Callithrix jacchus: one gene and its partners. The protein of the gene in region 1 interacts with the protein of each later gene in a pairwise test. Links are inferred from orthologs where the notes say so. Each region holds a gene or a part of one and is shown in the gene's direction. Other genes may lie near its edges.

Evidence for each region.
Region 2: the proteins of ZYX (region 1) and TUFT1 interact in binary tests that used the Homo sapiens proteins (3 or more experiments, as listed by UniProt). The link is inferred for Callithrix jacchus from reciprocal best matches to the Homo sapiens genes ZYX and TUFT1.
Region 3: the proteins of ZYX (region 1) and NEBL interact in a two-hybrid assay, tested with the Homo sapiens proteins (2 studies listed by BioGRID and IntAct). The link is inferred for Callithrix jacchus from reciprocal best matches to the Homo sapiens genes ZYX and NEBL.

What each region holds. Positions count from the first base shown.
Region 1 is NC_133512.1:104,124,065-104,127,812, reverse strand, and holds the start of ZYX (zyxin), read left to right. Parts: upstream 1-1,527; 5' UTR 1,528-1,592; intron 1,593-1,739; exon of another isoform or gene 1,740-1,742; 5' UTR 1,743-1,754; coding exon 1,755-1,962; intron 1,963-2,422; coding exon 2,423-2,622; intron 2,623-2,768; coding exon 2,769-2,861; intron 2,862-2,976; coding exon 2,977-3,486; intron 3,487-3,748. UniProt on the Homo sapiens protein: Adhesion plaque protein. Binds alpha-actinin and the CRP protein. Important for targeting TES and ENA/VASP family members to focal adhesions and for the formation of actin-rich structures.
Region 2 is NC_133519.1:11,478,226-11,481,873, forward strand, and holds part of TUFT1 (tuftelin), read left to right. Parts: intron 1-3,397; coding exon 3,398-3,648. UniProt on the Homo sapiens protein: Involved in the structural organization of the epidermis. Involved in the mineralization and structural organization of enamel.
Region 3 is NC_133508.1:21,477,715-21,481,462, reverse strand, and holds the start of NEBL (nebulette), read left to right. Parts: upstream 1-1,401; 5' UTR 1,402-1,505; coding exon 1,506-1,586; intron 1,587-1,678; coding exon 1,679-1,750; intron 1,751-3,748. UniProt on the Homo sapiens protein: Binds to actin and plays an important role in the assembly of the Z-disk. May functionally link sarcomeric actin to the desmin intermediate filaments in the heart muscle sarcomeres.

The sequences.
Region 1 (3,748 bases):
TGGCATTGCATTTATTTCTCCATATAATGCAACAGTAGATGGATTAACCGTGACTTTTACAGATGGAGCCGGGGAGAATGAAGAGATGTCAGTTGAGCATCAGGCAGGATCTTCACACTCTGACCTCGCTCTGCTCTATCCTGTCAGTGTCGTTTGACCTGGTATCAGGGGTGCAGGGCCACCAGCTCTGACCCCAGGTCCAGTTTAGACTCTGCCCCTACCTGGGTGTGACCCGGGTCCATCTCTTCAGCTCTCAGCCTCGCCTTGCTCTCCATAAACTTTTGGGGTTAGTTTGGATGATCTCTAAAACATGGCCCTGGTGCTCCTTGCCAGTAGAGTGCAGCGGGATTTGGAGGGAGTGGAAACTTAGTGTGAACAGGAGGAGTGCCTCAGAAGGCAGTAAAAGTTGGCAGGAGGAGAGGAAAAGAAGCGCCTAGGGGTACATATCGCACTAGCGGCAAAAGGCCCTGACTCCTTAGTTTGCAAGAAGAATTACCCCAGGTCCGGTCTCTTTCGCGTAGCCTGGAGCTGAGTCTCAAGCTGAGAAATCCGGTCGGACCAGTGGGGGGCTCCACCAGGCGCGGTCTCAGAATGCCCAAGAGCCCCAGCGTCGCCCGGGGTCTCCTAGAGTGGGTCGTGGTGGGCACTGAAGAGCCATCAGAGGGGCAGCCCGCTACCGCGTCGGTTCTTCCCGGTCCCCAGTCCGCAGGTGGCCGCCACCTCGGCCCCGCCTCCGCCCTCCCACCTCCATTCCTGGCCCCGCGGGCCCGAACCGTCCCTCTCGCAACCGATCCTCTGGCGGGGGCGCGGGGGATGCGAATTCCTAGAAGCCTGAAGGGGCTACCCAGAGTTGGAAGTTCGTATCCCGGAGAATGCTGGAGGTTCCGGCTCACACACCCACTCCGGGCACGGAATCGGTGGGGGGGGGGGGTGCCGGGAGGAAGAACGCCCGGCTCCTCATCCCCCATCCCCTTACACCCTAGAGCCCAGCTGCAAGCGTCCGGCACCCCAGGCTGACTCAGAGGTGCCTGGGTAGCGGGTGGTGGCGGGAGGGGACCAGGTAACGGCAGGTCCGAGGGCTGGTCGCTGGGCCCAGCCGGAGACGCCCAGGGGCTGCGTGGCTACCTCCGGGGCACCCGCCCCACCTCCGCCGCTGAGCCCGGAGGGGGACCGTGAGTCAGATCTCGGGCGCCCGCGGGTCGGGCGGGGAGGGTGGGCAGGTCAGGAAATGACATCAGAGGCCTGTGCTCGGGGAGTTGGGGTCCGAGCCGGGCCGGGGTGGCGGGGGCGGCTGTGAGTGGGGTTGCGGGGCCGGACTTCGGCGGAGCCTCGGGCCTGGGGCAGGATCCGGGCCCCTTCCTGGGGGTGTTTCCTGCCTGGTCCGCCCTTCCCCGCTCTCCCCGCCCCCTCTCCGGGCAGCTCCTTGTATGGTCTGGGCGCCTCTCTCTCCCCGCCCCCTCTCTCCTCCCTCCCTCCTCCTTCCGTGGGTCCTTCCCCGCCCGGCCGGAGGCTGCTCCGGACCGGGACGCAGAATCCGCGGACCCGGCGCCGAGGCGGCCACCCGAGACGCGGCGCGCACGCTCCGGCCCGCGGTGAGGCGCTGGGAGCGGCCGGGCGGCCCCACGGAGAGGGGGTGCGGGGCGCCGGGAGGGGGCGCGTGGGGGTCGCCGAGAGCAGCTGGGACCGCCGGGGGCTCCTGAACCGGACTCGGCGCTGCGTAACCCGGTGTCCCACCCCAGCAGCCCGGCCTGGCCATGGCGGCCCCCCGCCCGTCTCTTGCGATCTCCGTTTCGGTCTCGGCTCCGGCTTTTTACGCCCCGCAGAAGAAGTTCGGCCCTGTGGTGGCCCCAAAGCCCAAAGTGAATCCCTTCCGGCCTGGGGACAGCGAGCCTTCCCCGGCGCCTGGGGCCCAGCGCGCACAGATGGGCCGGGTCGGCGAGGTCCCCCCGCCTCCCCCGGAAGGTATGCAGCGGGGCTTGGGGACTGGACCTCGGCAGGCGCCGGGGTGGGGGGCAGTAGTTTCGGGAATTTGGGGATGTCTGGAAAGGTTGTTGCCGAGGGGGCTGGGCGCAGCCACCCTGTCCCGAGCAGATGTTCTTACCTCATCGTGGAGCTCGTGGCTGGGAGCCAGGGCTCCTGGGACCGTTCCAAGTCCCCCGCCTGGGGGTGGGAGGCGGGAATGTGGGCCACGAATCTTACCCTCCGGGTCCGTTTTCCGAAGTGTAACGGGAGCTGCACCACTTCTCCGCCATGCCCCTGGCCTTTCCTGACCCGGTGTTCTCAGGGTGCCCTGTGCCCCTTTTTTGCTTTCCCACACGCTCCGGGACCCCCAAGAGTTCTTGGGTCAGGGGTTAGAGTGGTAAACCGAGCTTGGGTGAGGGTAGACGGACCCCGGCCGACGTCTCTCCTCTTCCTACCCCAGACTTTCCCCTACCCCCACCTCCCCTCGCTGGGGATGGCGACGATGCAGAGGGTGCTCTGGGAGGTGCCTTCCCGCCGCCCCCTCCCCCCATCGAGGAATCGTTTCCCCCTGCGCCTCTGGAGGAGGAGATCTTCCCTTCCCCGCCGCCTCCGCTGGAGGAGGACGGAGGGCCTGAAGCCCCCATACCGCTCCCACCACAGGTATGGAGACCTGGGACGGGCGGCCGCACCAGGACACCCCCAACGAGAGGAGAAGGTCCTTTCTTCTTACCTCCTCTGCACCTCTGCCCTGTTGGGGGAGGGGGGGTGGAGGCATGGAATAGGTGCTCTGACCTCTGACCCTCTAGCCCAGGGAGAAGGTGAGCAGTATTGACCTGGAGATCGACTCTTTGTCCTCACTGCTGGATGACATGACCAAAAATGACCCTTTCAAAGCCCGGGTAAGGGAACAGAGAGTAGGAAAAGCAGGGTCCAAGGCCAGAGAGACTGGGGATAGAGCTATGGAGGATGGTGTTCTCCTGACTGCATCTCTCTTCCCTCTCCCTCCCCTTGCAGGTGTCATCTGGATATGTGCCCCCACCAGTGGCTACTCCATTCGTTTCTAAGTCCAGTACTAAGCCTACAGCCGGGGGCACAGCACCCTTGCCTCCTTGGAAAGCCCCTTCCAGCTCCCAGCCTCTGCCCCAGGCTCCCACTGTGAGCCAGACACAGTTCCCTGTTCCACCCCAGCCCCAGCCCCAGGCTAAGCCTCAGGTTCATGTCCAGCCCCAGCCTGTGTCTTTGGCTAACACTCAACCCCGAGGTTCCCCAGCCCCATCTCCGGCACCAGCCCCTAAGTTTTCTCCAGTGACTCCTAAGTTTACTCCTGTGGCTTCCAAGTTTAGTCCTGGAGCCCCAGGTGGACCTGGGTCACAGCCGAATCAAAAATTGGGGCACTCCGAAGCTATTTCTGCTGGCACAGGCACCCCTCAACCTCCCAGCTTCACCTATGCTCAGCAGAGGGAGAAGCCCCGAGTGCAGGAGAAGCAGCACCCTGTGCCCCCACCGGCTCAGAACCAAAACCAGGTGAGGGATGCTGGTAGGACAAGGCTGGGACCCGGGCACTGGGGCGGGACTGAGTCAGGAGCCAGAGCATCAGCACGAAGGTGACTGGAGAGTCAGAATGGACATAGGGCTGGTGGGATAGGAATTCTTATCCTGCAGGGTTAGCCTGGTGAAACAAACAATGGTAAGAAAATGCTCCTCTGGAGAAGAGAGGCCTTGCTGGGTGGGGCCTGACTGGGAGGGCGCAGAGAGCACAGGCTCTGGATTAGGAGGAGGAGGATCT
Region 2 (3,648 bases), on another chromosome or scaffold:
GAAAGAAAGGCCAGCCAGAACTCTTCTTTTTCATGGAACTGAGAAGGAGAATTTCTGAGAGGAGGGCTGGGGGTGAAGAAGGAGGGCACCGAGGATGATAAACTGCTTTTGTGTTAGCCGAGGTCTTATTTGAACAAGCAGTTCTGAGTATCTGTTTCAACTTTTGGAAAAAGGGTGAATGAAATGCACTTTACAAGTTTGTTGTGTAGATCCAGTGAGGTGATATATGTGAGGGCACTTTATTATTTGGAAGGGTTTTAGCAATATAAAATAGTCTATATTTTTCTTTCTTTCTTTTCTTTTTTTTTTTTTGAGATGGAGTCTCACTCTGTCGCCCAGGCTGGAGTGCAGTGGTGTGATCTCGGCTCACTGCAACCTCTGCTGCCCGGATTCAAGCAATTTTCCTGCTTCAGCCTGCTGAGTAGCTTGGATTATAGGCGCCTGCTACTGTGCCTGGCTAATTTTTTTGTATTTTTAGTAGAGACGGGGTTTCACCATCTTAGCCAGGCTGGTCTTGAACTTGTGATCCACCCGCCTGGGCCTCCCAAAGTGCTAGGATTACAGGCATAAGCCACCGCGCCTGGCCTAAAATCATCTACATTTTTCTTAGCAATCAGTTTAATAAGCAGAGTTTCCTATTGTAAATAGCTTGGACTTAGGGTAATATTAAAAGTAGTTTGTCGTCTCAGAACAAAGTAGCTGTGTGGTGAGGGGTGTGTTGCATCTATTTCAGATTCTACAGTTTGTATAATTTCGTTGGTGATGTATCAGTTGGTAACCAGCTATTTCCTACCTTTTCCGAGCAAAACAGGAGGAAGGAAGGTTGAGGCTGTCGTACTGACCAGGTTGTGAATTTTGGAAAGAAATTCCTGCATTGAGAGGCATTTTGAAGTTGTGGAAATGATAGAAATACTTACTGGGTTTAATCACGCATGGAGGAGTCTGCTACTCTGGATCTCAAAAGTGCCACGACCGCTGTAGCCGCTGCCCAGAGGTTAGAAGAGGTTCTGTTTCGTAACCGCATAGTACACAGCACCTCCTGCGATGGGAGATGCTTCCTGCTGGGCACTGTGGCTCACGCCTGTAATCGCTCAGGAGGCCAAGGCAGGAGGATCCTTGAGCCCAGGAGTTTGAGACCGGCTTAACCAACATAGACCTTGTCTCTACAAAAGTAAGAAAATTAGCCCGGTGTGGCGGAGCATGCCTGTGGTTCCAGCCACTTGGAAGGCTGACGTGGGAGGATCTTTGGAGCCCAGGAGGTGGAGGCTGCAGTGAGCTATGATGGTGCCATGCACTCTAGCCTGGGTAACAGACTGAGACCTTGTCTCAAAATAATAAATAGGATACATAAATAATTTTTTTTTTTTTTTTTTAAAAAGGAGGTGTTCCTCAGCTCATTCCTACTGGTGGGCCAAGTTGGCACACCTTTTTTTTTTTTTTGAGACAGAATTTTGCTCTTGTCACCCAGGCTGGAGTGCAATGATGTGATCTGGGCTCACTGCAACCTCCACCTCCCAGGTTCAAGCGATTCTCCTGCCTCAGCCTTCTGAGGTAGCTGGGATTACACATGCCTGCCACCATGCTCAGCTATTTGTGTGTGTGTGTGTGTGTGTGTGTGTGTGTGTGTGTGTGTATATTTTTAGTTGAGATGGGGTTTCACCCTGTTGGCCAGGCTAGTCTTGAACTCCTGACCTCAGGTGATCCACCCACCTTGGACTCCCAAAGTGCTGGGATTACAGGCGTGAGCCACCTCGCCCGGCCACCTTTTTATAATTAAGAGGCTACTTTGAGGGCAGGGTTGGCTGGAGCCACAGAGACAAATATGGAAGGGGAGTCTGTATTTTTTTTAACCTTTTGCTCCAACAGTGGGGTGCAAGAACTGACCCATGGGCTTGTTAACACAGTGCTCTGAGCTCACATCGACTTGGGTGTAGTGTTTATGTACAGAAATGAAAGGCCTTATTTTTAAGTTCCTGCCTATGGGGATGGGCTCTTTCAGGTTAATACAGGTCATTTGAGGGCTTGTCTCAGTTTCTCCTAGTGAATTGGACTCCCTGATGTACTTTTCTGAACCTAGGGGTAGGAAGGGCAAGATGACCAATTACCATGAAAACAACTTGCCATTAAGCATGGGTTTCCTGTTCTACTGGCTGCTTGCTGTCAAGAAGGATTTGCAGTGAGAGTGAGTTTGCTCTGGACGGAGCTGGTGTGTAGCATGGACACGTCCCATTACACATCAATCACCCTGTGCTGTGCTTTCTCCTCCCCAGTTCTGACCTTGGGAGGGGCTGGACAAACTGGCTGCTGGTGTTCTGTTTTCCCAGGCTGGCTGGCTAGGCTTTCCAGAAGTTACCTGGATTCTTTTTTAATAAGTGATGAGCAGTCAGTGTGAGGTACCTGGGAAGCGTTGAAATGGATGGTGAAGTATCTGGGTCCTAGCACTGGCTGTCATTCACTAGCTGGGTAACCTTGAATAGGTCAGTTGGCCTTTGCTTGTTAAGGGAGAGGGTTTGATTAGATGCATGTCAGTTCCGCTCCTGATTTCATCGAGTAGTTACTGTATACAAGGTGCTGTGGGAGCTCAGGTCTGTGCCATCAGGATGCTGACAGCCTGCTTCAGGTGCATGCGGTGGCTGGGCAAAGTCTGTTCAGTGCCATGGGAGGGAAGGCCGTGTGTCCCTCGTGTGTCCTCTCCCTGGGCACAAAAAGGAAGGGCTCCTCCCCCAGGCTTGGAAGGCTCCCTGGAAGACGGGGCATCCAAGTGAGACCTGAAGGATGAGTGGGAGTTGGAAAGATGCAAGTGGGAGGAAAGGAGGCGAGTTCTTTGTGTTCTCATTCTGATGCTCTGCTTCTGTTCTCTCCAAATGGTTTCTCATCTCCGATAAAAGACAAGTTCTTCCTGATGTTTTAGTAGCCCTTCCAGTTGCCATTTTGGCTGTTGTGTGTGGGCTCTGAAGTATTGCTAGAAGTGAGAGTGAGGAGGCGTGGAGGAGACAGAGGGAAGGACCTGGAGGTATCCTCCCCGGGATTATTTGCTTTTGAATTCATAGAAAGCCACAACATTGGGTTAAGCTTGGGTGATGGCAGAGGGTTCATGGGGATGATGAAGGAGTCACGTACCTGAAAAGTGGTGCTTGTGGGTTCCAGGTGTCACTTTAAAGTGGACCTCAATCAACTGTGAGCCAGTTAACCCTGGGCATAGACTCACTCTGCTGGAGTACTGAGGTGGTCCTGCACAGCAAAGGGAAGGCGGTGCTATGGCCATCTGAGTCACCACCTTTATCCCGTCACAGCTCCGGAGCCACCCAGGTTCCTGGGTTCTTTTCTAAGGTTTTTTTCCCCCCATATTTGCTCTTTCTTTCCACACCATTTAACATATTCCTGCCCCGTGTTTTAGGTCACACTCAGCCAATACCAGAGAGAAGCAGAACAGAGTAACGCGGCCCTTCAGAGAGAGGAGAACAGAGTGGAGCAGAAAGAGGCAGAAGTCGGAGAGCTGCAGAGGCGTGTGTTAGGGATGGAGACGGTAATCGGGGATCCTGAGCTGCAGAGGCACGTGTTAGGGATGGAGACGGTCATCTGGGATCCTGAGCTGCAGAGGCATGTGTTAGGGATGGAGACGGTCATCTGGGATCCTGAGCTGCAGAG
Region 3 (3,748 bases), on another chromosome or scaffold:
AGGGTAACACAAGGTTAAGCAAGTAGGTTTTTTGGTTGAAGGTCTTCTCAGAACTTCCAGCATGTCAATATGCCTTGTCAACCTCTAAGTGGCAGGGACAGAGATTGGGGTACAGGTTTCTTACACATATTTGTTTAAGAAAGCTGCTTTTCTCCCCTAGAATCTTTTGTGGAACTTTTGCCTCACGGAACACAATTTCAGAAATAATTTATACATGATGACTGTATGGAATGTTTTTCTTGTTAGAATTTTCAGTTTAATTAAGGGCATTTTTTTTTTACAATGCATGGAAAACTAGATATGATATCAAGAGAGAAAAACATGCTTGACTACTTAGAATGATGTATTATTATTAATTGTGTTTTGTATTATCAGTATTACTATTCATTGTAGGGTATTTGTTATGCCCAATGCTAATATGCTATGGCTTGGTAAAATTAATTTATCCTAGGATTTATATAACCAGATTAATAAACTGTAAGTTGTAGAGCATCTTGGAATTGCTTGAATTGACACTAAAATATTTGTTTTGAGAAACGTATTTTTAACCTTGGTTTTACATAACTAAGGACATATACCATATTACAAATATTGTGGTGGTTTATTTTTCCAAACTTTTCAGAATGTGGAGTACCCATTGAGTAATAATTCAAATTACTAATGAATTTGTAAAAATTGGCATGAGTAGAATTGCAGAATTCAAAGATGATGGTGACGATTTTTGAAACTGATGTTTCTAGAGTTGTTAAATGATATATTAACTTGTGTTAACTGCAACTTCTCATGTTTAATGATGTTTACAATTAATACAATACCATACTCACCAGTATGAGACTAACAGTCATAATTAACTCAGAATAGATTCTTTGAAGGGGCTCAAAGGGCTTTTCATAATAAATAGCCTCTAATCAGCTAATATAAAGTGGGCATTTTTTAGGATGTGAAAAGTACTGGTATGTCTCATAAAACATATAATTTAGGTTAATAAAATGAGTTTGAATGATCCAGATTTACTACCCCAAGTCAGAAAGAAGTCTGACATTCCATTGAAAGCTTTATTTAGACAGAGTCAAGGAATCTCTGCGATAACAGGCTTTGGACTGTGCTATCTTAAGTGTTAGAGCTGGATAATTTTCCCAGAATCTCTAAGTCCTTTTTATGCTCTTTTATGAATGAATAGAATTAGTAAAAAATGAATAAATTTTCTCTTTTGGATTTCTTAACCAGTGGAAAAAATGTTGACTTGAAAAGTTCATGAAATCTAATTTTGCCTAAGAATATGTTATTTCCACTTGTGAGGCCAGCCCTGGTAGACCTCTGGGATTCTGTTCTGCTCACTGACACACCACTGAGATAAGGAGTGAAGTGTGGGCTAAATAGGGCTGAGGCATGGGTAAGGGCATTCCTGCCAGAGCACCAGAGACGTCAGCATCTCAAGGGCACTGGTACGCAAAAGGACGCCTATGAGTAGATTTTTAAAAATATAAGTATTTTAAAGGGTAAAAATGAGGGTCCCTGTAACTGAGGATGTAAAATATGAAACTGAAGAAGAAAAAACAGGGGAAGAAGAAAATGAAGAAGACCAGGTGAGTGAGAAAACATGTACTCATGATCAACGTTTTATTCTCTAAATTGATGCTGAGAAAAATGTTTCCTTTCCTTTTTTTTTCCCCAATAGGTCTTCTATAAGCCTGTTATTGAAGACCTAAGCATGGAATTGGCCAGAAAATGCACGGAACTCATTAGTGATGTAAGTGGCTAGAGTAATTTCTCTCTTAATTTTCATTGCACCTGTAGAATTATGTTATAGAGGCACAGAGCTGTGGGGAAACCCTGAAATCAGCATTTAAAACACAGTCACTTTCCAGATCTTAGAACAAAGTCCTAAAATTTTAAGTGATTTCCCCAAGGTCACCTATACAGAGAATTTCTGCTAGAGCAAGTTTCCTCATTCTTAATCCAGAATCCTGTCCCTTATGAGTTTTGCTGTCACTCTGGCATGAAATCATAAGGTATTGAATTGCAGTATATATTCCATTTGAGAACCCCCAAAGACTTTAAAATGAATAAAATGATGTAATTTGTCTTGGGAGGACCTCTATCTAAATGAGTAGTCATTTTTAACAATTTGGGGCCTTCTGAAGTATCTAATTAATGCACCTGTCTTCCAGAAGAGGAAATGTGTGTATGTATATGTGTATGTGTGTGTGTGTGTGTGTGTGTATATATATATATATATATATATATATATGCATATAATATTTATTTACAATTTTAGGATTTATGGATTACTGAACTGTTTGCTAAGAACCCTGATCTAGGTAAGGATATTAGTGCAAGGGGCATTTTTGTTGTGACATTTTTTAGGAACTGGGATCAGTCATATTACATTTCAAGGGAATCCCAGAATTATAGAATGATTGAACATATTATTTTATGATAAATATGTAAGCTAGAATTCAAGAAGTACAAGGAAAAATGTTGCTTACTAGGGATGATAATTTAGTTCATCCCTGTTAACAGTTCTAAGAGAATTAGTGGTTCAGAGGAATGGTAACCCCTGTAAAGTGAATATGTGCCTGTGTCTTTATTTAGAGAGATGAGCTCAATACTGGTTGTTTCTGTTGCTGATAATGAGCCAAGTGATTGGAATGTTTAACAAATGTTTGTTTTCAAAGGAAGTCAGTCCTGGGCAGGAGGGCAGTGGGCTGGCATGTCCTCCAAAGTCAACCTGCCCGTGTTGACTCCACAGTAACCTTGGGAAGGTTATGTAACCTGGCTGGGCCCCATCCCTCAGCTGTAACACTTATAAGAAGATTAAATAATGGTAGTACATCTAAAATGCTGAATAAACTATGTGGAACATTGTGAGGACTCCTTAAATGTTAGCTGTCATTAACTACTCTGTCTGTTACTTACTTTTACATCCAACCAATCACAGTTTAGATATGGCTGGCTCTTTCTGACAAACCAGAGGGCAGCACAAAGGATGGTGGTGGAAATCATACCCCTTCCCATATATTTGACATGTGTTGTAATTGTGCTTTAAATTAAGTATTTCTTTATGCTATTACTTAATAGTCATTAGCTACTGTATGTGAAAGTTCTTTGTAAATTGCAGTAATAATGACAATGACCAGCAACAATTACAATACTGGCAACAGTTTTTAAGATTTAGTGACTACTATGTGACAGGCATTGGATCATGTGAGGGAGGCACTATGTGTTTTCCCATTTTTCAAGTGAGGAGATGGAGGCACAGAGAGGTTCAGTACCTTGCCTGAGTCACACAGTTAAGCAGCGGCAGTAATATTTAAACACAAATATTACTCTTTACTCTGCCATGTTATCTCACTGTAGATTTCCATGAAATGTTGTTCTTTGATTTCTTATTATTTATTATATAACTATTAGGGGTAGCAATGCTACCAATTAAAACCCTAAGGATCTACCCTCTTCCAGCTTTGATCTGTTTTTATTGAAGTGCAATTATAGCTGAGCTAACTTGTGTTACATAAACTGTCAGGTCTAAAGTGGTAACTGTAGTTAGCAGGTGGTTCTCTTGGAGTTGTTTTGGATAAGATTGTTTATCAATGACTTTAGAACCAATATGTTGTGAAGGGTAGTGGTCTTTATCATTTTGCGAAAGCTAACACCATATATTTCACACCCATGTAGGTAAAATTAAACAGATAGGCATACTTTATGTTTATTACAGATGTATGTTGCATGGTAGAATGTACTACTT